4 linked regions of the Macaca mulatta genome follow. The protein of the gene in region 4 binds, or shares a complex with, the protein of the main gene of each other region. Links are inferred from orthologs where the notes say so. Each region holds a gene or a part of one and is shown on either strand. Other genes may lie near its edges.

Region 1 (5,799 bases), on a different chromosome or scaffold from region 4:
GAGCCAGGCCTGTGTCTCTTGGCCGGCTAGGCCTTCCAGCTGCAACCTGTTTTTCTCTGCTAAGAAGACTTCCCTCACCCAAGAGGCATACCTGGAAAAGCAGGATTTACCAACTGAAAAACATCTATGGAGTTCACTGAAGTCACAAGGGCAAAGAAGAGAGAAATTGACCTGTAAGTGCTGGAAAAAAAGACAGGGAGATAGTCAAGAAGAATGGACTTCAACAAACAAAGCTATCATAGCCGCTCCCTCCACTTCCAGAATTACTCACCTCCAGCCTGCATTGAACCAGCCCGAGGGTCTCCAGGAGCCTCCTCTCTGCCCGCACGCCATAGCAAAAGGCACTACCAGATCAACCGGGTAGAGGGTGGGCTGCTCTGTGTTTTTATAGCAGGAATCCAGTCGCATCAACAAGCTCTCCCCATTGTGGGCACCTGACTCTTCTCCCATTCTCCCAGCTGAAAGGGAAGGATTGGGGAAGGAAGTGGCCTCTCTGATTCCTGACAGATTGTGCCGGGTATTCTGCCAGCTGCCCCTGTGGGCCAGGCATGAAATCAGAGTTCGCGGAAATCAGCTGCAGGTGAGTAAATTGGTGTTTTCCCTATAACTTCGGGGGAAATTAGGATCTTTTGGGCAAATTATTTACAACTGCAATGTAGAGTGAAAGAGAATCATGGGCTTTGTTGAGAAAAAAACAAGTCTTGTTCACATCACTAAACATTTTTTTGAGATACAGTTTCACTCTGTCACCCAGGCTGGAGTGCATTGGTGGAATCTTGGCTCACTGCAGCCTCCGCCTCCTGGGTTCAAGCAATTCTCCTGCCTCAGCCTCCTGAGTAGCTGGGATTACAGGTGCGTGCCACCACACCTGGCTAATTTTTGTATTTTTAGTAGAGAGAGGGTTTCACCATGTTGGTCAGGCTGGTCTCGAACTCCTGAATTAGGTGATCTGCCCACCTCGGCCTCCTAAAGTGCTGGGATTACAGCCATGAGTCATTGCACCTAAACTAAAACCTTTTAAGTAACATCTAGTCTCCTGGCTACTGCAGAAGTTACCCTGATAATGCACATGAAATATCTTTAAAAAAATGAATGAACCCTTATTGACCCCAAGTGTAAAAGCTTAAGCTTACAGCAAAAAAATACAATTACAGAAGGATACAGAGAAAAGGCAAAAGTCACTCATAATAGTACCACTGCTAATATTTAGGTGGGTAACTTTACAGACATGTTTCTACAAACACCACATACAATTTTTTAAAAAACTGGGAGGAAAGTTTAAATACTGTTTTGTAATCTGCCACTGTCACTTTATAACCTATTAAACATAAAGCTCTCTGTTACCATTTTAGGGTGGCCTAGTCTTCAATGTTGAGATAAATCTGTGTTTATATAACTTCCGTAATTATGAGCATTAAGGTAGCTTGCAATTTTTCATCATTATAAGCAATAACATCATGAGCATTCTGATACATTTCCTTGGTTAACCCTCAAGATAAATTCCTCAAAGTAAAACTTCTGGGTAAAAGGGAGTAGTGATCTAATAAGAATGTTTTGTTGTTGTAAAGCACTTGTAAGTTTCCCAGTGGGGAAACTGAGGCAAGGAAACTTGCCCCAACAGTGTCAGGGGCCAGGTGGAGAACTCAGATTTCCTGAGGCCTGATCAATGTATTTTTTTCAACATCTCTCATTGCTCTTTGAGATAACTAGATGTCTGCAGCCCATGTTCTAAAATAGGTGAATATAATGCCTAGACTCTATACAAGTGATGGGTGACATTTGCAATTACTAGGTTGGTGCAAAAGTGATTGTGGTTTTTGCCACTACTTTTATTTATTTATTTATTTGAGATGGAGTCTCGCTCTGTCACTCAGGCTGGAGTGCAGTGGCGCGATCACGGCTCACTGCAGCCTCCGCCTCCCGGGTTCAAGCGATTTTCCTGCCTCAGCCTTCCCAGTAGCAGGCGCCCACCACCACGCCCAGATAATTTTTGTGTTTTTAGTAGAGACAGGGTTCCACCATGTTGGCCAGGTTGGTCTCGAACTCCTAGCTTCAAGTGATCCACCTGCCTCAGCCTCCCAAAGTGCTGGGATTACAGGCGTGAACCACTGCGCCTGGCCCTTTGCCACTACTTTTAATGGCAAAAAACAATTATTTCTGCATCAACCTAAACAGTATTGATTCATGTGTTGCCTTTGAGGAGTAACCCGAGGCATCTGAAATAACACTGTAGATTAAAATGTTTCCCCGACTCCTTGGTCAAAAGGATCACATGGAGCTCTCATTAATGTCACAGATTCCTGAGTCCCACCCAAAGGCTACTGAATTGGACTCTCCAGAGGACGTGCCTGGGAAATATTTGCTTAACGAGCACCACAGGTGATTCTTATAATCAGGAAAACCTGGAAAATACCTGGAGGGAGGGAGGGAGGCGAGAAAATCTGTGGTGGCCAGTGGTTAACCTCTTTACAGGAATTGGTAGATTACATCCCAGTGGAATTGGGAAGAGGGAGCAAAATACAGACGAGTTTTTGGGGATAGAGATGGTAAAATGATTTCATTTTACAGCCAAAGCATGATAGCAATAGTTTCTCTTTCTATGCATATTTTCTGAAAAGTGGCACCATTTCTGCAAATGTAATTCATTACCGCAACGGTTAAGACTATGAGGAGAAGACATTAGAGGGAAAAGCATAGATGTGAGACTCAGAGCCCTGTTGAGAAGGTGGTCAGAGAAGTGATGGGTTAATGTGCTTATTCAGCCTCCCTCAGACCCCACCTCCCTCTCCACCCTGCTACGCGCTCCCCTCAAGATGGCGTCTTTTCTCCAGAGTGGGAAGTTTTTGTCTTGGAAAGGGCGACTTTGGTCAGAGCCCCCAAATTATGGGTTTCTAAAAGGTTAAGGGGCAGCACAGAGACCCCAAGCAGGAGATGCGGTGAGAAAGCCCACTGTGGCCTGGTGAAGCTGGTATGTGCACCAGAGATTAATTTTGTTTGTCTCACCTAACCCAGACCTGTGGTGTGCTAGGGACAGCCACCGAACAAATGGCTCCGGGCCCATGAGCATCAATGTCTAGGGTTCTGCTCTGGAAAAAGCAGGAAGCTACAGTGTGTTCAGCAGCTGACTTTGAACACAGGAAGAAATAGCTGCTCCGTAAAACAGTGTGTTCTATCAGGAGGTAGGAAAAACTAAAGTCTTTACAAAAATGATTCTTAATATTCTATTCTCACTTATAAGTGAGAGCTGAACAATGAGGACACAGGGAGGGGAACAACACACACTGGGTCCTGGTGGCAGGGGTTGGGGGGCCGGGGGATGGAGAGCATCAAAATAAATAGCTAATGCATGCGGGGCTCAATACTTAGGTGATGGGTTGATGGGTGCAGTAAACCACCATGGCACACATTTACCTATGTAACAAACCTGCACGTCCTGTACATGTATCCGGGAACTTTGAATTAAATTTTAAAAAATTGCACTAAATAGGCCCAGTGCGGTGGCTCACACCTGTAATCCCAGCACTTTGGGAGGTCAAGGCAGGCAGATCACCTGAGGTCAGGAGTTTGAGACCAGCCTTGCCAACATGGTGATACCCTGTCTCTACCCAAAATACAAATATTAGCTGGGCATGGCGGCACACACCTGTAAATCCAGCTACTCGGGAGGCTGAGGTAGGAGAATCGCTTGAACCCAGGAGGCGGAGGCTGCAGTGAGTCAAGATTGTGCTCACGCCATTCTCCTGCCTCAGCCTCCAGAGTAGCTGGGACTACAGGTGCCCGCCACCACGCCTGGCTAATTTTTGTATTTTTAGTAGAGATGGGATTTCGCCATGTTAGCCAGGTTGGTCTCCTGACCTCGTGATCTGCCCGCCTAAGCCTCCCAAAGTGCTGGGATTAGTGGCTGATACAGTGTTTCTTGACTCATTGATTTATAGAAATAACACTGATTAGCTGGGTACAGTGGCTCACACCTGTAGTCACGGCGACTCAGGAGGCTGAGGTGGGAGGATAGCTTGAGCTCAGGACTTTTAAGACCAGTCTGGGCAGCATAGCAAGACCCCATCTCAAAAAAACAAAAACAAAAACAAAAAAAACACTGATTAGTGATTGGCTATACATTGTTGAACTATAGGGTGCGAGTAATGGCGTCCAGTCTGGGCAACAAGAGTGAAACTCTGTCTCAAAAAAAAAAAAAAAAAGACACTAAATAAACAGCAGACCTCATTCAAATATATGCTTTCCACACTCTTTTTAATGAACCTTTTAAAATTTGCTAATTTATTATTATAAGGTGTTCCCTCTCCTCTTCTCTGCCCTGGGCTCTATGTAAGTATCATGAAACCATTTCTCTCCTGCTAACCACCAGGCATTTCTTGAAGGGAGTCTCATGCATAAAAGAAAGACTAGTTTTGTTGCCTCATCTGGGCAGATGCCTTCTTTCTGAAGTGCAGTTCTTATAAATGACAGTTTATAACTCTTAAATTCTGAATCTGCTGTCCTTGTTTTCCACAACAATTATAAAAATATTTTTGAAAGACAATCTAAATATCACCATTTAGAGATGATTGGATAAACTATGGAATACTCTTCAGCTACTGCAAATGATTCTATAGGCTCATTCAGATCTATGAATACTGATGTGAAAGATACCTGCAATAAAACTTGAATTTCAGGGCTATATATCTACTATGCTTTCATGTTTTGCTTTAATAGGAAAACGAAAAACCTGTCGACCTAAAGGAAGAAGATAATATAATTTTAAAGAGTTTACTTGAGCCAAAGTGTGGACAGCTGCCCGGGAAACACTTCCCTTGCCTTGGTGAGTTCTCCCCTTACAAGTTACAAGTGGGTTCTTTGTTTTTTGTTTTGTTTTGTTTTTGAGATGGAGTCTTGCTCTGTTGCCCGGGCTGGAGTGCAGTGGTGCAATCTTGGCTCACTGCAAGCTCTGCCTCCTGAGTTCACGCCATTCTCCTGCCTCAGCCTCCCAAGTAGCTGGGACTACAGGTGCTTGCCACTACGCCCGGCTAATTTTTTGTATTTTTAGTAGAGACGGGGTTTCACCATGTTAGCCAGGATGGTCTCCTGACCTCGTAATCTGCCTGCCTCGGCCTCCCAAAGTGCTGGGATTAGTGGCTGATATGGTGTTTCTTGACTCATTGATTTATAGAAATAACACTGATTAGCTGGGTACAGTGGCTCACACCTGTAGTCACAGCGACTCAGTACGCTGAGGTGGGAGGATAGCTTGAGCCCAGGACTTTTAAGACCAGTCTGGGCAGCATAGCAAGACCCCATCTCAAAAAAAAAAAAAGAACACTGATTAGTGATTGGCTATACATTGTTGAACTATAGGGTACGAATAATGGCATCTAGCGTATGGTATGAGTTATGGTGTCCAGTGTATGGCGTAGTTAGGTTAATTTTATGGCTCCTTGGTGTCAGTGTAGAGCCCATATATCAAGTAGCTCCAAGAGATAATTACTGAGCCTTAGGAGGAAGTAAGGTATGATAGTTGTCATGTTTCAATGCCTCTCTGGGCCTGATAATTTAAAGGGGCTTTGCATTCTTCAGATACAAAGTTTATTTTCTTTCTCAAACCTATGTGCATATTTATACTTTATGTGTCTGCATGTGGGTCTATACATATGTATTTGGATTACAAGTCAAGAAAGTTGTCCCAGAGAGTTGACAGCGTCATCCAGGAAAGGAGAGGGTTGCCAGCGTCCGGGGAGTCCACGTGGCTGTGCTGGGCATTTGCAACCATTGTCTGTTCTGATTTGTTCATGCTTTTGCTGTATG
Region 2 (5,785 bases), on a different chromosome or scaffold from region 4:
GTCAGTGGTCAATAGCAGAGCCTGTGGAGTCCTAGCCTATGTCCCACCACGCCCCACCTCAACTTCCACCTGGGTCTCCACATCCCTATCCTATGACCAGTTTTGAGCACCTCTAAGGAATGAATCATGCCTTAGTCCTCTGAATGCCCAGCACAATCTCCTGCCCTAGCTCAGGAAATGACGACTGAATAATAAATGTGTTTCATACTCCTATGTTGTTGCCACCATCAAGGCCAAACTTTGACAAAACAACTTTATATGTGTGAACAAGGTCCACTGTCTGCCCAGGAGGAATTTTAAAATGGTGAAAACATGGGACTGAGCACCTGGGGAACCTGTACATCGTTCACTTCATCAGCACTTAGGGAACACCAACTAAATGCCAGGTCTTACATAGGATGATGATGTTGGTGGTGGTGGTGGTGGTATTGGCCCCAGTAGACTCCTAGGCAAGGGCATAGATTTGAGATGCATTCATTCATTCATTCATTCATTCATTCATTCACTCAACAAATTTGTTTGGCATTGATTCCATGTCATGCATTGTTCTAGGCATATAGTGGTAAAGAAAGCACACATAGCTATCTTCACACAGGAGGAAGCTAGGGGCACAGATAGGAAGATGAAGAGGAAAGAGCTAAGGATGCAGCCTTAAGGAACACTGGTTAAGAAATAGGCAAAAGCTGATTGTCTCCAAGGAAGCTTGAAAAAAAAAATTCATGGAAAGGAGAACTAGGTCTCAATGCTATTCTCAAAACAAAGCAGGGGGCATTTTAAGGTGGAGGGAGTCTGTGGGGGTGATGACCAATGTAAAATAAGGATTGGGGTGGCAGGTGAACAGCATTCTCCTGGGTAAGAACATTCACTCACCTCTGCCAGGATTCTAAATACAAAATAAACAGCCATATGACATTCTTTTTCAATGTAGAGAATCAATGAAGTAAGTCAGAGGGCAATGCATTTTGTGTGGCCTTTTCTGGACCATTCAAAAATCCCACAAGTCTTTCCCTTTTATCACTGACTTAATAGTTAATACTAAGGTGAGAAAACAGATCATATTTTAAGGCTCTTCTTCAAGAGGGATTTACATCTTAAACTAGGCAATAATTTAGCCCAAACAAAAATAGTGTGCTTGTAAAACTTCAGCTATTGGGGAAAGGGATGCAGAGGGGTGTTTAGGTGCCCCAAAGTTACAATTTTAAGTGGTTACCTGATGTAAGCTGCTGTCCATCTCCCTGCCCCTGCGCTTGACAGGGTGCAAAGGGCGCAGGTGCCTCCCTGGGTTAAGTTCAGGCACAAGCCCCATACTTAACAGCCCCTGATTTACACGTTTTTATCACCCCTCTCCTAGCCCCTCTTTCCTTTCATTCCTTTCCAGGCCTGGTTCATCCTTGTCTTTGCACCCAGCACCAGACCTAGGAGTTAAGCAAATGTTGACCAAATTGAATTAAATGAACCAGAGGGTCTGGGCCCTGGGTGAAGGTCAGCCATAGATCAAAATGTCACTGCCAGGCTCCGCCAGGCTTCGATGGATATGGGAGTGTGTTGGGTTTGGGTTTTGTTTTGTCTTGTTTTGTTGGGAGTGGAGGTGTTAGGGAAGGTGGGAGGGGAAATCACTTGAGAGGGCCATTCCCATACCCACTGGTTCAGACCCCTGCGGCCCACAGTAAAACCTGGCCCTGCCCCCAAGGAATTCACAGAGCAAGGATTGATTTCTCCCTGGTGGAAAAGTGCAGGAGGAAGCTAGGACAGAAGGTACGTTGAAGGTGAAGGCGTAGCAAGGGCTGACAGTCCAGGAGGGCCATGAGCCCTCCGGAGTATCCAGAGAAGATGGACTAGATTGCCCCGCCCCCTGCCCACCCGTGTGAATAGTTTCCGGATCTCTCTATTCCAGTCATCACAAAAAGTCCCAAACCTCCTCCCTACATCTCCACGATCTTCTTCCTCAAACGCATGTGATCAGGTACCACGTCAAGAGAAATACCAGCTTGAAGCCCAGCTACTGCCACCACAGGCCCATAGGCACACTGGGTCCATTTGCTCCCAGGCTTCAGGGGGAGGCGACGATTGAGCACCTGCAACTCTAGCCTCGCAGCGGCCCCGCCCCACAGCGGCCCGGCCCCGCCCCTCCGCGCTCAGGCCGCGTCCCCAGCTCGGAGGGCGGCTGGCCGGGTCGCGGTCGCGGTTCCTTCCAGCTCCTGGCAGCCGGGCACCCGAAGGAACCGGTCGTTCAACGACACAGCTGGACCTGGCCCAGCCATGGACCGAAAAGTGGCCCGAGAATTCCGGCATAAGGTCAGAGCTGTGGGGCGCCCCAGGCTTCTGGGACTCCGGAGTCCTGGGCGCGGTGGGTAAGGGGTGGACACCCCGGCACTGCCCCTCCCTTTTCCGGCCCCACCTGATGGCTCTGGGTGGGCTGGGACACCCGAAGGTCGTTTGACTGGCAGCAGGGATCCCCAGTAAAGTGAGGGAGGGAACACGGGGACTCCGGGCTCAGGTACTGCTAAACAGATCGATCTTCTGCCAAGCTTTCTCCCTCTGCCTTCCAGGGGCGGGGACGTCTCGGGGGTTTGAATTCCTTCCAGTCTTGGCCGCTTCTCTGAGGTGCCCCCTTTGTGGGCAAGTCCCTCTCCTTCCTAGTGCCCCCAGCTCAGGGCTGATGAGGCTTGTGGAGAGAGTCTGGGGCAGTATCTGAGAGGTGAGTGTTGGGAGAAGGGAAACTAGACGTCTCTCTCTCTGCCTTTTGACCTCAGAACATGAGTTAGAAGCATTTCAGCCCTGCCTGCCTAAGGGCGTTTCTTAGGGCCTGAGAAGTAGCTGAGGAGCTGGTGCTGACCCGGGTGCGGTGGGGAGGAAGGGAGGAGGTATTGAGGGCGTGGGAGCTGGGCTCTGGCCAGCCAGATCCTTCAGGCAGAGCCGGGTCCACCCTGGCGTGTCCCAGTGAGGGGCCTTACTGGTGGTCTGGGATCCGAAAGGACCATCACTGGAAGCGGCTGGATTTTACACAGGGCATTTCCAGAACAATTCACAAAGCTATGCAGAATCTGCTGAGGCCCTGAGACCAGAGAGGGTCATCAAAGATATCCAGCCGACCTCTTCACCAGGCCTTAGGATGCCTCTGAGTCTGGGGATGAAGCCACGGAGGGTTGGGGGAGTGGGGGTGGAATCTGGATCTCCCCACAGGCCCTGCCTAAGGGGCAGGTAACTATTAACAACTGTGTGACCCAAGGCTCTCCCAAAGACCCCAGGGGGGCAGTGTCTTTAGACCAAGCCAAACCTCTTCCTGGTCTGAGGACTGAGCTCAGGTAGGGAAGGTCAGGGTCCTTAACCCCTTCCTTCCCATAGAGAGGCCCATAGGAGCCCAAGGAGCCAGCCAGAGTAGGGGCCGCAGGGGCTTGGGGCCAAGGGCCCAGGGTCAATTATTCATTTAATAATCATGTTTTGAGCATCCTCTCAGCGATACCCAGTCTGTGCCCTCAAATTGCTGGTGGTGTAGGTGGGAAGCAGACTCTACTCTGGTAATTACCCATGTCTGGGTGCTGCCTGTTGGGGCCAAGCTTTTGTAGGGGCACAAAGGGACAGCTCAAACTGGCAGAAGGCTCCTGAAAACATGGTCTTGGGCATCCCTGGTCCTGCTCCCACGGGTGGGCGATAGCTGGAAGTTCAGTAGGAATTTAGGGGCTGGCGAATGCCAAGGGGAGCTTGAGACAGCATTCACCGGTACATCCTGTTGCAAAGAGACATGTCGGAAGAAATTTCAGCCGCTAAGGACATTTTGTGAGTGTAGATTTCAGGCAACCCAGTTTGAAGGAGCTCAACCTTCCGTCCCCCAACCCAAGACTCAGGGTTGAATTTCACTTTCCTGCCCCTGGCCTGAAATAATGTCAGGTCTTCTGCCTTCACTCTGTGGGGTACCTACTCTGTCTCTTTTGCAAGAATCGTCTCCTGGGTCCCTGGTGTCTGATGCAGACCCTGGGTTTGCCCTGTTCCTCTTCCCCAGGTCCCACAGGCTTCAAAGGGCCTCCGACCTCCATGTTTCCTCTGCCCTACTCTTCCTCATCACAAGAGTCATTACTTATTAATATCCCTGTGTGCTGGCAGGGCAGGCGCCATGTGCTAGGCAAGGCCCAGGCTGGACTTTGTGCCTTGCTGCCTTGGAGACAGCCACAGCCTTCCCCTCCCAGGCTGGGGATCATCCAGGAACTGGGAGAGAGGATGAAGCAGCAGGGGATAGAGAGGAGGCACTCAGATATGCTGGGAGAAATTTACAGCTTGCTGTTGTTTGCTTTGTAGGGGTACCTTCCTTAGTGTTTTGGAGGAAATGGTTTATGATCTAAATCCTTGGTTGTTGGAGGTAATATTTAAGGTAGTGTGTTATAATGGAAAATGCTGTGTGACCTTGAGCAACTCAATTAATCTCTCTGTGCCTCAGTGCTCTTATTTGTGAAAAGAGATAACAATATTTAACTAATAAGGTTATCATGAATGTTGAATGAGATCTACATGTGTGTGGGGAGCTTAAACAGACCCTAGCACTTAGGGAGCCCTCAATAAATGTCCACTGTTATTTATTATCTGGAGTTAGCAGAACTGGGACCATATCTTAGCCCTGTTACTGTCAGGAAGACCTTGGCCAAGCCACCCACTCTCCCTGAGTTTTAGTTTCTTCAGCTGTGAGATGGAGTTTGTGGTACTTACCTCACAAGACAGACAAGACTGACTAGCAATTAAAGTACTGGCTGCTCTGGGCCCACAGTAACCACACTTTTTCCAACTGATACCTGCAGAGTGTCCAGTGTGAGCCAACAGACTCCAGGCATCAACTCCTTTTGATTTGTGAAGTTACCCCAAGGTTGCCAGGAGCACTTGCATGCCCTTCCAATAACTAGTAGCAACCTTGGGCCAGGATTTGGGGGAGCAGGGCTTGGTCAGAGACTGTTTTCTCCCTCAGAGAAGCAGCTTTCAAAAGGAGACTGCTCCTCTGTTCGCAGCACCAGCACATGGCAGGAACTTGGTTACTCATTTGCTTAAAAGTATTTATTGCCTCTTCAGCAGTCACACATTTATGAGCATAGCTGTGTACTCTGCCTGAGGCCAGGCATTGGACGACCTGGTGGGATGAATAAGAAGATCAGAAACAGCCACCACTCTCTAGGAATTTGCTAATCATTCATTCATTCACATAGGCAATAAATATTGACTGAGTTCTCAATATATGCCAGGCAGTACTCTAAGCACTGAAAAACAAAATAATGCCCTTGCTCTCTTAGACAGTACATTCTAGTGGGGAGGACAGACAGTTAAAAGGAAATCGACAAAAGTATCGTGTAATGCCAGGTAGTGATAAATTATATGAAGAAATAAACTAAGATGGGGAGAGAGATAATAAGTAACAAGGTGGGCAGTCAGGAAGGCCTCTCTGAAGAGGTGACGTCTGAGCAGAGACCTGGAATAAGTGAGGAGAGGAGCCACGGGGATACATGTAGAAGAGCGTTCCCCAAAGTGGAAGCAGCAAGTGCGAAGGCGCTGAGGCCAGCAGATGCCTGCCTGTATGGAACAGCAAGTAGGACAGCGTGTCCCAGAGGAATCATTTGTAGATAATGGTGAGAAATGGGTCAGAGGGGTGATAGGGGCCTGATAGGCCATGGTTAGGTTGGGATTTTCTTATAGTGTGAATGATTTACATTTAAAAGGAATTTTCTGGCTGCCCTGTAGAGAATCCACTGAGGGGCCCAAGAGTAGAAGGGGGACCTCAGTCAGGAGGCTCCTGCAGGACCCCAGGCCA
Region 3 (4,270 bases), on a different chromosome or scaffold from region 4:
AGGAAACGTGAACGGTACATTTGTCATCCACCGAGACTCCGGCAACCTCACCATGGCCAGGAGTGTCCCCAGAGCCATGACCTTTCTTCTGCTGGTGAAGGTGAGGTAGGGACCTGCACGGGGGTCAGGGCAGTGGGGGCAGGGTGGAAGGTAGGGCGGGGGTCAGGGCGGGGGGGCAGGGCCCCTGCCAAGTCTGCATCTATTCTTCCTGAGCCCCAGGCTTCAGCACCAGCTCCACCGTCAACCCCACGAGTCACGGCTGCCTCCCCCGCCTCCAGGGCCAGCAGGCCGACCTTGCCCGCTACTCAGTGACCCAGGTCACCGTGGAGGCTGTGGCTGCAGCCGGGAGCCCGCCCCGCTTCCCCCAGAGCCTGTACCGTGGCACCGTGGCACTTGGCGCTGGAGCAGGTGTTGTGGTCAAGGATGCAGCTGCCCCCTCTCAGCCTCTGAGGGTCCAGGCTCGGGACCCGGAGTTCTCGGTAGGTAGCACACGCAAGGCTGATGCCTGCCGCCCCCACGGCAGCCTTCCTGTTGCCCAGGGTCCCTGGGTCCACCCGGCCTCCCCTCTGTGGGTGGGTCAGGGCTGCAGATGGGAGGCAGCCTGGCCGGGGACTCAATGAAACCCTGTCCAGGACCTCAACTCGGCCATCACGTATCGAATTACCAACCACTCACATTTCCGGATGGAGGGAGAGGTTGTGCTGACCACCACCACACTGACCCAGGCGGGGGCCTTCTACGCAGAGGTGAAGGGCAGGGCAGGTGGGCATCTCCAAGGGTGTGGGGCTTAAAGACGTGCCCAGGAGAGACAAGCCCCTTCCTGCCCTAGGTTGAGGCCAAAAATACAGTGACCTCTGGCACTGCGACCACAGTCATTGAGATACAAGTTTCCGAACAGGAGCCCCCCTCCACAGGTGAGCCCCCATCCCCAGAGACTGGAGGAACAACTGGGCCCTGGACCAGCACCACTTCCGAGGCCCCCAGACCCCCTGTGCCCTCCCAGGGACCCTCCACAACCAGCTCTGGGGGAGGCACAGGCCCTCATCCACCCTCTGGCACAACTCTGAGGCCACCAACCTCGTCCACACCCGGGAGGCCCCCCGGTGTGGGAACCAGCACCTCCCACCAACCAGCCACACCCGGTGGCGGCACAGCACAGACCCCAAAGCCAGGAACCTCTCAGCCGATGCCCCCCGGTGTGGGAACCAGCACGTCCCACCAACCAGCCACACCCGGTGGTGGCACAGCTCAGACCCCAGAGCCAGGAACCTCTCAGCCGATGCCCCCCGGTGTGGGAACCAGCACATCCCACCAACCAGCCACACCCGGTGGTGGCACAGCTCAGACCCCAGAGCCAGGAACCTCTCTGCCGATGCCCCCCAGCAGGAACACCCCATCCTCAGGTAGCACCCACTCCGTTGCCTTCCCTCCCTGGCTCAGATCACTGGGTGGTAGGGAAATGCTGTAGGAAGGGTCCACCCCAGGCTGACCTGGCCTGACTATGAAATCCCAGAGGGGTCTGTTTGGGACTGACAGACACAGACAGGCCAAAGGCCCTCAGTGAGGTGAACTGTGATGTGTGTAGGACAGAAGCCAGATTTGGGGTCCAACGAATCCCATGATTCCCACAGCTGCCGGCTCACCCTGCAGGCCCCTGCCCCTCCTGTGAGCAGCCTCTTTGTTGGGGGGGGGGAGCCCAGGGTCTCACTGGGACACACAGGCCCCTCCAGCCAGGGTCAGCAGAGCCTGAGATTTGGGAGACAGCCCAGGCCTGGGTGATTTCCAAGTGTCTCAAGCCTGGCACAGGTTGGCATGGGGAATGCCTGGGGTGCTCAACAGTGCGGGGGTGATGGCATTTTCCACAGCGATGCCAGGTGGCGGCCCCTCGGAGGACAAGCGCTTCTCAGTGGTGGACATGGCAGCCCTGGGTGGGGTGCTGGGTGCACTGCTGCTGCTGGCTCTCCTTGGCCTCACTGTCCTTGTCCACAAGCACTACGGCTCCCGGCTCAAGTGCTGCTCCGGCAAAGCTCCGGTGAGGCCCAGGGTGGAGGGCAGGGCAGGCGACCCGCAGGGAGTGGGGGACAGGAGAGGGGAGGGCAGAGGGGAATATGTGGAGGCGGAGGGGTGTCCACCGTGGAATGAGGGTGTGGAGAGGCCACAAGGCAGCAGAGACCCAGGGACCCCGCTGACGCCTTCACTCCTGCTAGCAGGAACCCCAGCCCTCAGGCTATGACAACCAGGCGTTCCTCCCTGACGACGAGGCCAACTGGGCGCCTGCCCCCAGCCCCACGAGCGACGCCAAGCCCGCGGAGGCACCGCCGACGCCCGCGGAGCCCGCGCCCCCTGGCCCCGCGCCCTCGGGCAGTGCCCCTGAGGCCCCGGCAGCGGCCGTAGCCGGGGGAAGCCCCGCAGCGGTGAGGTCCATCCTGACGAAGGAGCGGCGGCCGGAGGGCGGGTACAAGGCCGTGTGGTTCGGCGAGGACATCGGGGCGGAGGCAGACGTGGTCGTTCTCAACACGCCCACCCTGGACGTGGATGGCGCCAGCGACTCCGGCAGCGGCGACGAGGGCGAGGGCGCGGGGCCTGGCAGGGGTCCCCACGATGAGCCCGGCGGCGATGACTCGTACATCTAAGCGGCCCCTCCACCCTCTTCCCCGGCCGCGCGGGCGCTAGAGGTCCCGCTCCCCTAACCCCCGACCCAAGGCAGAATAAAGCAAGGCTCCCCAAACCCAGGCCGTGGCGTGGGGCGGGCGCGCGGGTCCGTGCGGGCCCCATTTGCTCGCGTCCCCCATCGTCCTCGGCGCTCGAGCCCGGGTGTGCAGACGGGGGTGGCGGGTCCCGCCGCGCTGTCCCCACCCGAAGGCTGCAACGCTTCCCGTAAACCACCTGCTGTGCCCGCCGTCTTCCCGAGGCTCCGCGCCAGCTGGCCCGCGAAGTTCCTCTCCTGCTCTCACCACAGCCGGAGAGGGCACTCCCCTCCCCCAGTCTGCACTGGGGATCTCAGGCACCCGCTCAACTCAGACCTACCACTCCCGACCCGACACAGAGATTGCCTGGGGAGGCTGAAGAGCCAACGCAAATCCCCAAGACGATGCGCTTGGAAGCCAGTGGTCTCAAACATCTGCCGGGCTGGGGGTCCTAGTCCCCTTCTGAAATCTACATGGTTGGGTTGGGGCGCAGCATTAAACACCCACCCAGAGGCCTGCACTGAGGCACGCGGGGGTCGGTGCGCGCGAGTGGCCTGAGCAGGAGCCGGACCAGGAGGCCTAGGGGTGAGAGACACCTCCCGGTCGCTTCTCCCAAGGCCAGAGCCCAGGCTGGCCACCCATGCCCAGAACCATCAAGGGGTCCCTTGTGGGTCGTCAGCACTGTCCCTGATGAAAAGACACTATTAATTCCTTTCCAAATGTTTTAATTGCGAGAGCGTCTGATATTCTTGTCTGAACAATCTAAAGAACCCAAAGGGGGCCGCATGGTGGCTCCCGCCTGTAATCCCAGTACTTTGGGAGGCCAAGGCGGGTGGATCAGCTGAGGTCAGGAGTTCAAGACTAGCTTGACCAACTTAGAGAAACCCCGTCTCTACTAAAAATACAAAATTAGCCGGGCATGGTGGCTCATGCCTGTAATCCCAGCTACTCGGGAGCCTGAGACGGGAGAATCACTTGAACCCATGAGGTGGAGGTTGTGGTGGGCCAAGATTGTGCCACTGCACTCCAGCCTGGGCAACAAAAGCGAAACTCCATCTCAAAAAAAGGAACCCAAACGGTGCAGCTGCCCCTTTTTAGAGGCACATCCACCTCCCCTTACCCACTTCCCTTTTTTGAGACTCAGTCATGCTCTGTCCCCTGGGCTGGAGTGGAGTGGCTCCATCTCAGCTCACTGCAGCCTCGACCTCCTGGGCTCAAGTGATTCTCCCGCCTCAGCCTCCCAAGTACCTGTAACTACAGGCCTGCGCCACCACGCCCGGCTGATTTTTGTATTTTTAGTAGAGACTGGGTTTCGTCACGTTTGCCAGGCTGGTCTCGAACTCCTGACCTCAAGTGATCGGCTGAGGCGGGCGGATCACGAGGTTAGGAGATCGAGACCATCCTGGCTAACACGGTGAAACCCCGTCTCTACTAAAAATACAAAAAATTAGTCGGGCGAGGTGGCGGGCGCCTGTGGTCCCAGCTACTCGGGAGGCTGAGGCAGGAGAATGGCGGGAACCCGGGAGGCGGAGCTTGCAGTGAGCCGACATCCGGCCACTGCACTCCAGCCTGGACGGCAGAGC
Region 4 (5,032 bases):
CTCTAACTGTCACTCACAAAGTCCCACCTGATACCCTCTTGTCTCCCTGCCACCATTGAAAAGCAAAGGGAAGGGGTGAAAATCAGCACTGCTGGTGTCTACTGCACATCAGGGCATCCCCCAAGGTCGGGGTGGTTATTACTACTGCACATCAGGGCATCCCCCAAGGTCGGGGTGGTTATTACCTTTTTGCATTTATTTATTTATTTATTTATTTATTTATTTATTTATTTATGAGACAGGGTCTCCCTTTGTCACCCAGGCTGGAGTGCAATAGTGCCATCATGGCTCACTGCAGACTCAACCTCCCAGGCTCAAGTGATCCTCTCGCCTCAGCCTCCTGAGTAGTTGGGACTATAGGCACATGCCACCATGCCTGGTTAATTTTTTTATTTTTGTAGAGATGGGGTTTTTCCGTGTTGCCCAGGCTGGTCTGGAACTCCTGAGCTCCAGCAATCCACCCGCCTTGGCTTGCTAAGTAGCTAAGACTATGCGTGCCACCACGCCTGGCTAATTTGGCTAATTTTTAAAATTTATTTTTCATAGAAACAGAGTGTCACTTACTGCCCAGGCCAGTTTTGAACTGTTGGCCTCAAGCGATCCTCTCAACTCAGCCTTACAAAATGCTGAGACTACAGGCATAAGTCACTGAGCCCGGCTTATTACCATTTTATTGATCGAGCAACTGAGGCAGGCCTGGGTGCGGTGGCTCATGCCAAAAACCCCAGTACTTTGGGAGGCCAAGGTGAGAGGATTGCTTGAGCCCAGGAGTTCGAGACTGGGCTGGGCAATATAGCGAGACCCCATCGCTACAAAAATAAAAAATTAGCCAGGCATGGTGGCATGTACCTGCAGTCCCAGCTACTTGGAAGGCTGAGGCAGGTGGATCGTTTCAGCCCAGGAGGTTGAGGCTACTGTGAGCTATGATCATGCCACTGCAATCCAGCCTATGAGACAGAGCAAGACCCTATCTCAAAAAAAGAAACTGAGGCACAGAGAGGTTCAGTACCTTGCCTGGGGTCACAAAATGGGGTTTTGACTCCGATCAGTCTGGTTCTAAGGCTGCCACCAGCCTACAAGTCACCTTCCTCTGGAACAGTATTGTAACAAATGTGCACCTCTGCCATGTCTGTGATGTAGATGGCACCCCATAGGGTTGTGCAGTGCACAGCCAGCACCACTGCACATAGCAGTCCCATGTCCCCTGGATTGGGCTGTGCCATTTTCACACAAGGGTCAGAGAGTGAGACCTCAGAAATGAAGAAATCGCAGCAGAATGAGGACTTGCTGGTTGTCCTTGGGATGGGAGGGCTGCAAAGAGAGAACTTCATTTCCTGAGTGCACAGGTTTCTTCACCCCTGTGAGTAGTCCTCACAATTGCCCTGTTAGTGGGACTACTACCCCGTTTTGCAGATGAGGATGCTGAGGTCCAGAGAGGTCAAGGTCACACATGAGGCAGAGGTGCAGCAAGATGTGACTCAGCGCTCTTAGCCACTTCTGTGAGTTAGGGTGACCTTGAGAATGCAGCTGGTCTTGTGCATGGAGCCAATGATGTCATCTCTGGGAAATTAGCAGCAGAAAAGACATCTAGCTAAGGTGCAAGGACGCTGTCTTCCAAATGTTCACTCTAGGGTTATTCAGAAAAACAAACACCTGTTATGTGACCCACAAACCCGGGAAGGCCTGGCGTGCTCAGGGCATCCCCCAAGCACATGCCAGTGTTAGGGGACACAGGGGAGGGCAGAGTCACCTCCAGGCTGTGACAATAGTTGCAGGGCTCCAGCTGTGCCCAGTGGGCTAGGGCTGGCCACAGAGGTGAGAGCTGAAAACAGCTGGTGTCCAAGGCAGGGGCAGGTCTAAGCTTCTGCAGGTCCCCGGAGCCCAGCTCTGCCTAAGCACAGAGCTGGTGTCGTGGGCTCAGTTGTGTGCAGGAGGGACAGGGGTAGGAGGGGACAAGGGAAACTGTGGGCCTTGGGGCCTTTGTGGACATATAATGGTATTGGTGCCAACACAGTAAATCCGAGAGATGGAAGTCAAACAGGGCCAGGCAGGGCCGCAGGTGGGGACCCAGAACTGTGTTTCCAGAAAGCAGGGTCTAGAACATTCTAAAGCTGTGGTCAGAGAAACAGGAAGCAAGCAGGGCTTCCTGAGGATGGATATGTAAGGCCAAGGTCCCACTGTAGGTCCCGAACCCCAGGTGTGTGACCTGGGCAAGTTCCCTCCTCTCAGAGCCGGTTTCCTCATCTGGGAAGTGGGCAGTGAGGTCTGGGCACTAGCAGAACCGGTGCCTCAGAGCACAGGGACTATTGGTTTCTCAGGTTGGCTCTGGGGAGGGTGAGATGGGATCCCGGGGACTCAGACCTATCTCTGCCTGCAGGACATCAATGACAACCTGCCCATCTTCAACCAGTCCAGCTATAACTTTACGGTGAAGGAGGAGGATCCAGGTACTTGCTCCCTGGGCCAGGAGAGTCACTGGGGCTGGGGCCTGGCGTGGCTTTGTCAGGGTGGATCTGGAGTTCCAAGAGAGGCGAGGACAGAGGAGGCTTCCTATGGCGGGGCCAAGAGTCCCTCAGAGCTCTGCCCCTTGTCCACAGGAGTGCTAGTAGGCGTGGTGAAGGCCTGGGATGCAGACCAGACGGAAGTCAACAACCGCATCAGCTTCAGCCTGTCAGGGAGTGGTGCCAACTACTTCATGATCCGAGGCTTGGTGCTGGGGGCTGGGTGGGCTGAGGGCTACCTCCGGCTGCCCCCGGACGTGAGCCTGGACTACGAGACACAGCCCGTCTTCAACTTGACAGTGAGTGCCGAGAACCCAGACCCCCAGGGGAGTGAGACCATAGTAGACGTCCACGTGAATGTGAAAGATGTGAACGACAATCCCCCCACCCTGGATGTAGCCTCACTCCGGGGCATCCGTGTGGCTGAGAATGGCTCACAGCATGGCCAGGTGGCTGTGGTGGTTGCCTCGGATGTGGACACCAGCGCCCAGCTGGAGATACAACTTGTGAACATTCTCTGCACCAAGGCCGGGGTCGATGTGGGCAGCCTGTGCTGGGGCTGGTTCTCAGTGGTGGCCAACGGCTCTGTGTACATCAACCAGAGCGAAGCCATTGACTACGAGGCCTGTGACCTGGTCACGCTGGTTGTGCGGGCCTGTGACCTAGCCACGGACCCTGGCTTCCAGGCCTACAGCAACAATGGTAAGGTGGCCTGGCCTTGCAGGGCTTGGCAGGCCACAGCTTAGGGGCTGTGGGAAGGAGCCCTGGGCTGGGACTTATAAGATCTGGGCTCAGATCCTGGCTCCAGCCCTTTCCAGCTGCAAATATTGGGAAAGTCCCAAACCCTCTCCAAGCTTCAGTTTCCCTATCTGTCCAGTGGAGTTGGGCAGTAGGGTTGGCTGTGAAGATTCAATGAGAACATGGATGTAAGGCATTTATTGCAGTGCCTGGCATGCAGTAGCATCAAAGTAATGCCATTATTTTGCAAGATGCTGTGAAAGAAAGATCATACTTCAGAGTCAGATGTGTACTTGTATCCCACTTCTGACACCAAATAGCAATAATAGCCACATTAACAACTAGCATATATTGAGTCCTTATGACAGCCAAGAACTACACTGGGCACCTCGTAAGCATTTTTGCATTTCCGCACAACCTGTGGGGTAGGCGGTCCCTATCCAATTTTATAGATGAGGAAACTGAGGCAGAGAATGGGCATTTAAACAACCAGCTTACATAGTTAGAATGTGTCCATATAATGTCATAGGTGAGATCTACCTAGGCTGGGCCCAGTCCTGGCCCACCACTATTGCTGTGTGACTTTGACAAGCTGCTTATTAGCTCTGAGGTCTGGGATAATACTCCCACCCACATAGGCCAGAGAAGACTGAGCAGGCATTCTGGATCAGGAGCAGGGGAGGGGACTGAGCAGGCATTCTGGGTCAGGAGCAGGGGAGGGGACTGGACATGGGGAACACATGGGAGAGAGGCTGCAGGGCATGGGGTTAAGGCTGTGGGGCATGGGGTTGAGGCTGGGGACCACCAGGTTGAGGCCCAGGCTCCTTGGGTCAAGCTCTTGCCCAGAGCCAAAGCCAGCTTATCTTGTCTCCTAGGAAGCCTCCTCATTACCATCGAGGACATAAATGACAATGCACCCTATTTTCTGCCTGAGGAAAAGACTTTTGGTAAGCAGCAACCCCCTTTACACACCGTACCCCTGCTCCATGAGGCCACCTTTGAGCAACCCCCACAGACCCTCCATGGACCCAGGGGGGACTTTTAGAAAGGGGGGAGGCCTCTAATTCTGCCTCTTCCTAGGGCTGCAATAGGAGATGACACTGGAATTTTTTTTTTCTTTTTCTTTTTTTTTCTTTTTGAGATGGAATCTCACTCTGTCGCCCAGGCTAGAGTGCAATGATACGATCTCGGCTCACTGCAATCTCTGCCTCCCAGGTTCAAGCAATTCTCATGCCTCAGTCTCCCGAGTAGCTGGGACTACAGGCATGTGCCACCGTGCCTGGCTAATTTTTGTATTTTTAGTAGAGATGGGGTTTCATTGTGTTGGCCAGGCTGGTCTCGAACTCCTGGCCTCAAATGATTTTCCTGCTTTATGATTTGGCCTCCCAAAGTGCTGGGATTATAGGTGTGAGCCACCACGCCCAGCCAACATTGGAGTTTCCATTCCGGCTCTGCCTGACCTAACTGTCTGGCCCTGGGCCAGACCTTGCCTCTCTATGCCTCCATTACCTCATGGTCCTGTGGGTCTGTGACAATGGGAGGTGGATGACTTGCTAACTTCTGGCCCAGTGGTGACTGTAATGGGGGTCTCTTTTGGTAGAGAGGTTGAGGGCAGATTTAGAGGGATGAGCCCTGAGCTGTGCTCATGGCCAGCCTTGGTCCAGGTGGGCAGTGTCCCAACCCTGCTGACCCCCTTCCCATTCACACCTGCAGTGATCATCCCTGAACTTGTGCTGCCCAACCGGGAGGTGGCTTCTGTCCGGGTAAGTTCTTGGCTCCAGCCTTTGTTGGTT

What was found.
Region 1: CDHR2 (region 4) and ANKS4B share a complex: the UniProt entries of both Homo sapiens proteins name them as parts of the IMAC/intermicrovillar adhesion complex. The link is inferred for Macaca mulatta from reciprocal best matches to the Homo sapiens genes CDHR2 and ANKS4B.
Region 2: CDHR2 (region 4) and USH1C share a complex: the UniProt entries of both Homo sapiens proteins name them as parts of the IMAC/intermicrovillar adhesion complex. The link is inferred for Macaca mulatta from reciprocal best matches to the Homo sapiens genes CDHR2 and USH1C.
Region 3: CDHR2 (region 4) and CDHR5 share a complex: the UniProt entries of both Homo sapiens proteins name them as parts of the IMAC/intermicrovillar adhesion complex. The link is inferred for Macaca mulatta from reciprocal best matches to the Homo sapiens genes CDHR2 and CDHR5.

Annotation. Positions count from the first base shown.
Region 1 is NC_133425.1:21,123,477-21,129,275, forward strand, and holds the start of ANKS4B (ankyrin repeat and SAM domain-containing protein 4B), read left to right. Parts: upstream 1-2,471; 5' UTR 2,472-2,546; intron 2,547-3,012; 5' UTR 3,013-3,179; intron 3,180-4,713; 5' UTR 4,714-4,819; intron 4,820-5,799. Other genes in the region: ZP2 (zona pellucida sperm-binding protein 2), read right to left, coding at 92-180, 272-450. UniProt on the Homo sapiens protein: As part of the intermicrovillar adhesion complex/IMAC plays a role in epithelial brush border differentiation, controlling microvilli organization and length. Plays a role in assembly of the complex.
Region 2 is NC_133419.1:47,920,999-47,926,783, forward strand, and holds the start of USH1C (harmonin), read left to right. Parts: upstream 1-1,892; 5' UTR 1,893-2,259; coding exon 2,260-2,295; intron 2,296-2,549; exon of another isoform or gene 2,550-2,698; intron 2,699-5,785. UniProt on the Homo sapiens protein: Anchoring/scaffolding protein that is a part of the functional network formed by USH1C, USH1G, CDH23 and MYO7A that mediates mechanotransduction in cochlear hair cells. Required for normal development and maintenance of cochlear hair cell bundles.
Region 3 is NC_133419.1:510,547-514,816, reverse strand, and holds the end of CDHR5 (cadherin-related family member 5), read left to right. Parts: intron 1-2; coding exon 3-100; intron 101-278; coding exon 279-479; intron 480-632; coding exon 633-746; intron 747-829; coding exon 830-1,403; intron 1,404-1,865; coding exon 1,866-2,032; intron 2,033-2,207; coding exon 2,208-2,633; 3' UTR 2,634-2,728; downstream 2,729-4,270. UniProt on the Homo sapiens protein: Intermicrovillar adhesion molecule that forms, via its extracellular domain, calcium-dependent heterophilic complexes with CDHR2 on adjacent microvilli. Thereby, controls the packing of microvilli at the apical membrane of epithelial cells.
Region 4 is NC_133411.1:185,529,429-185,534,460, forward strand, and holds part of CDHR2 (cadherin-related family member 2), read left to right. Parts: intron 1-2,377; coding exon 2,378-2,447; intron 2,448-2,597; coding exon 2,598-3,203; intron 3,204-4,114; coding exon 4,115-4,186; intron 4,187-4,952; coding exon 4,953-5,002; intron 5,003-5,032. UniProt on the Homo sapiens protein: Intermicrovillar adhesion molecule that forms, via its extracellular domain, calcium-dependent heterophilic complexes with CDHR5 on adjacent microvilli. Thereby, controls the packing of microvilli at the apical membrane of epithelial cells.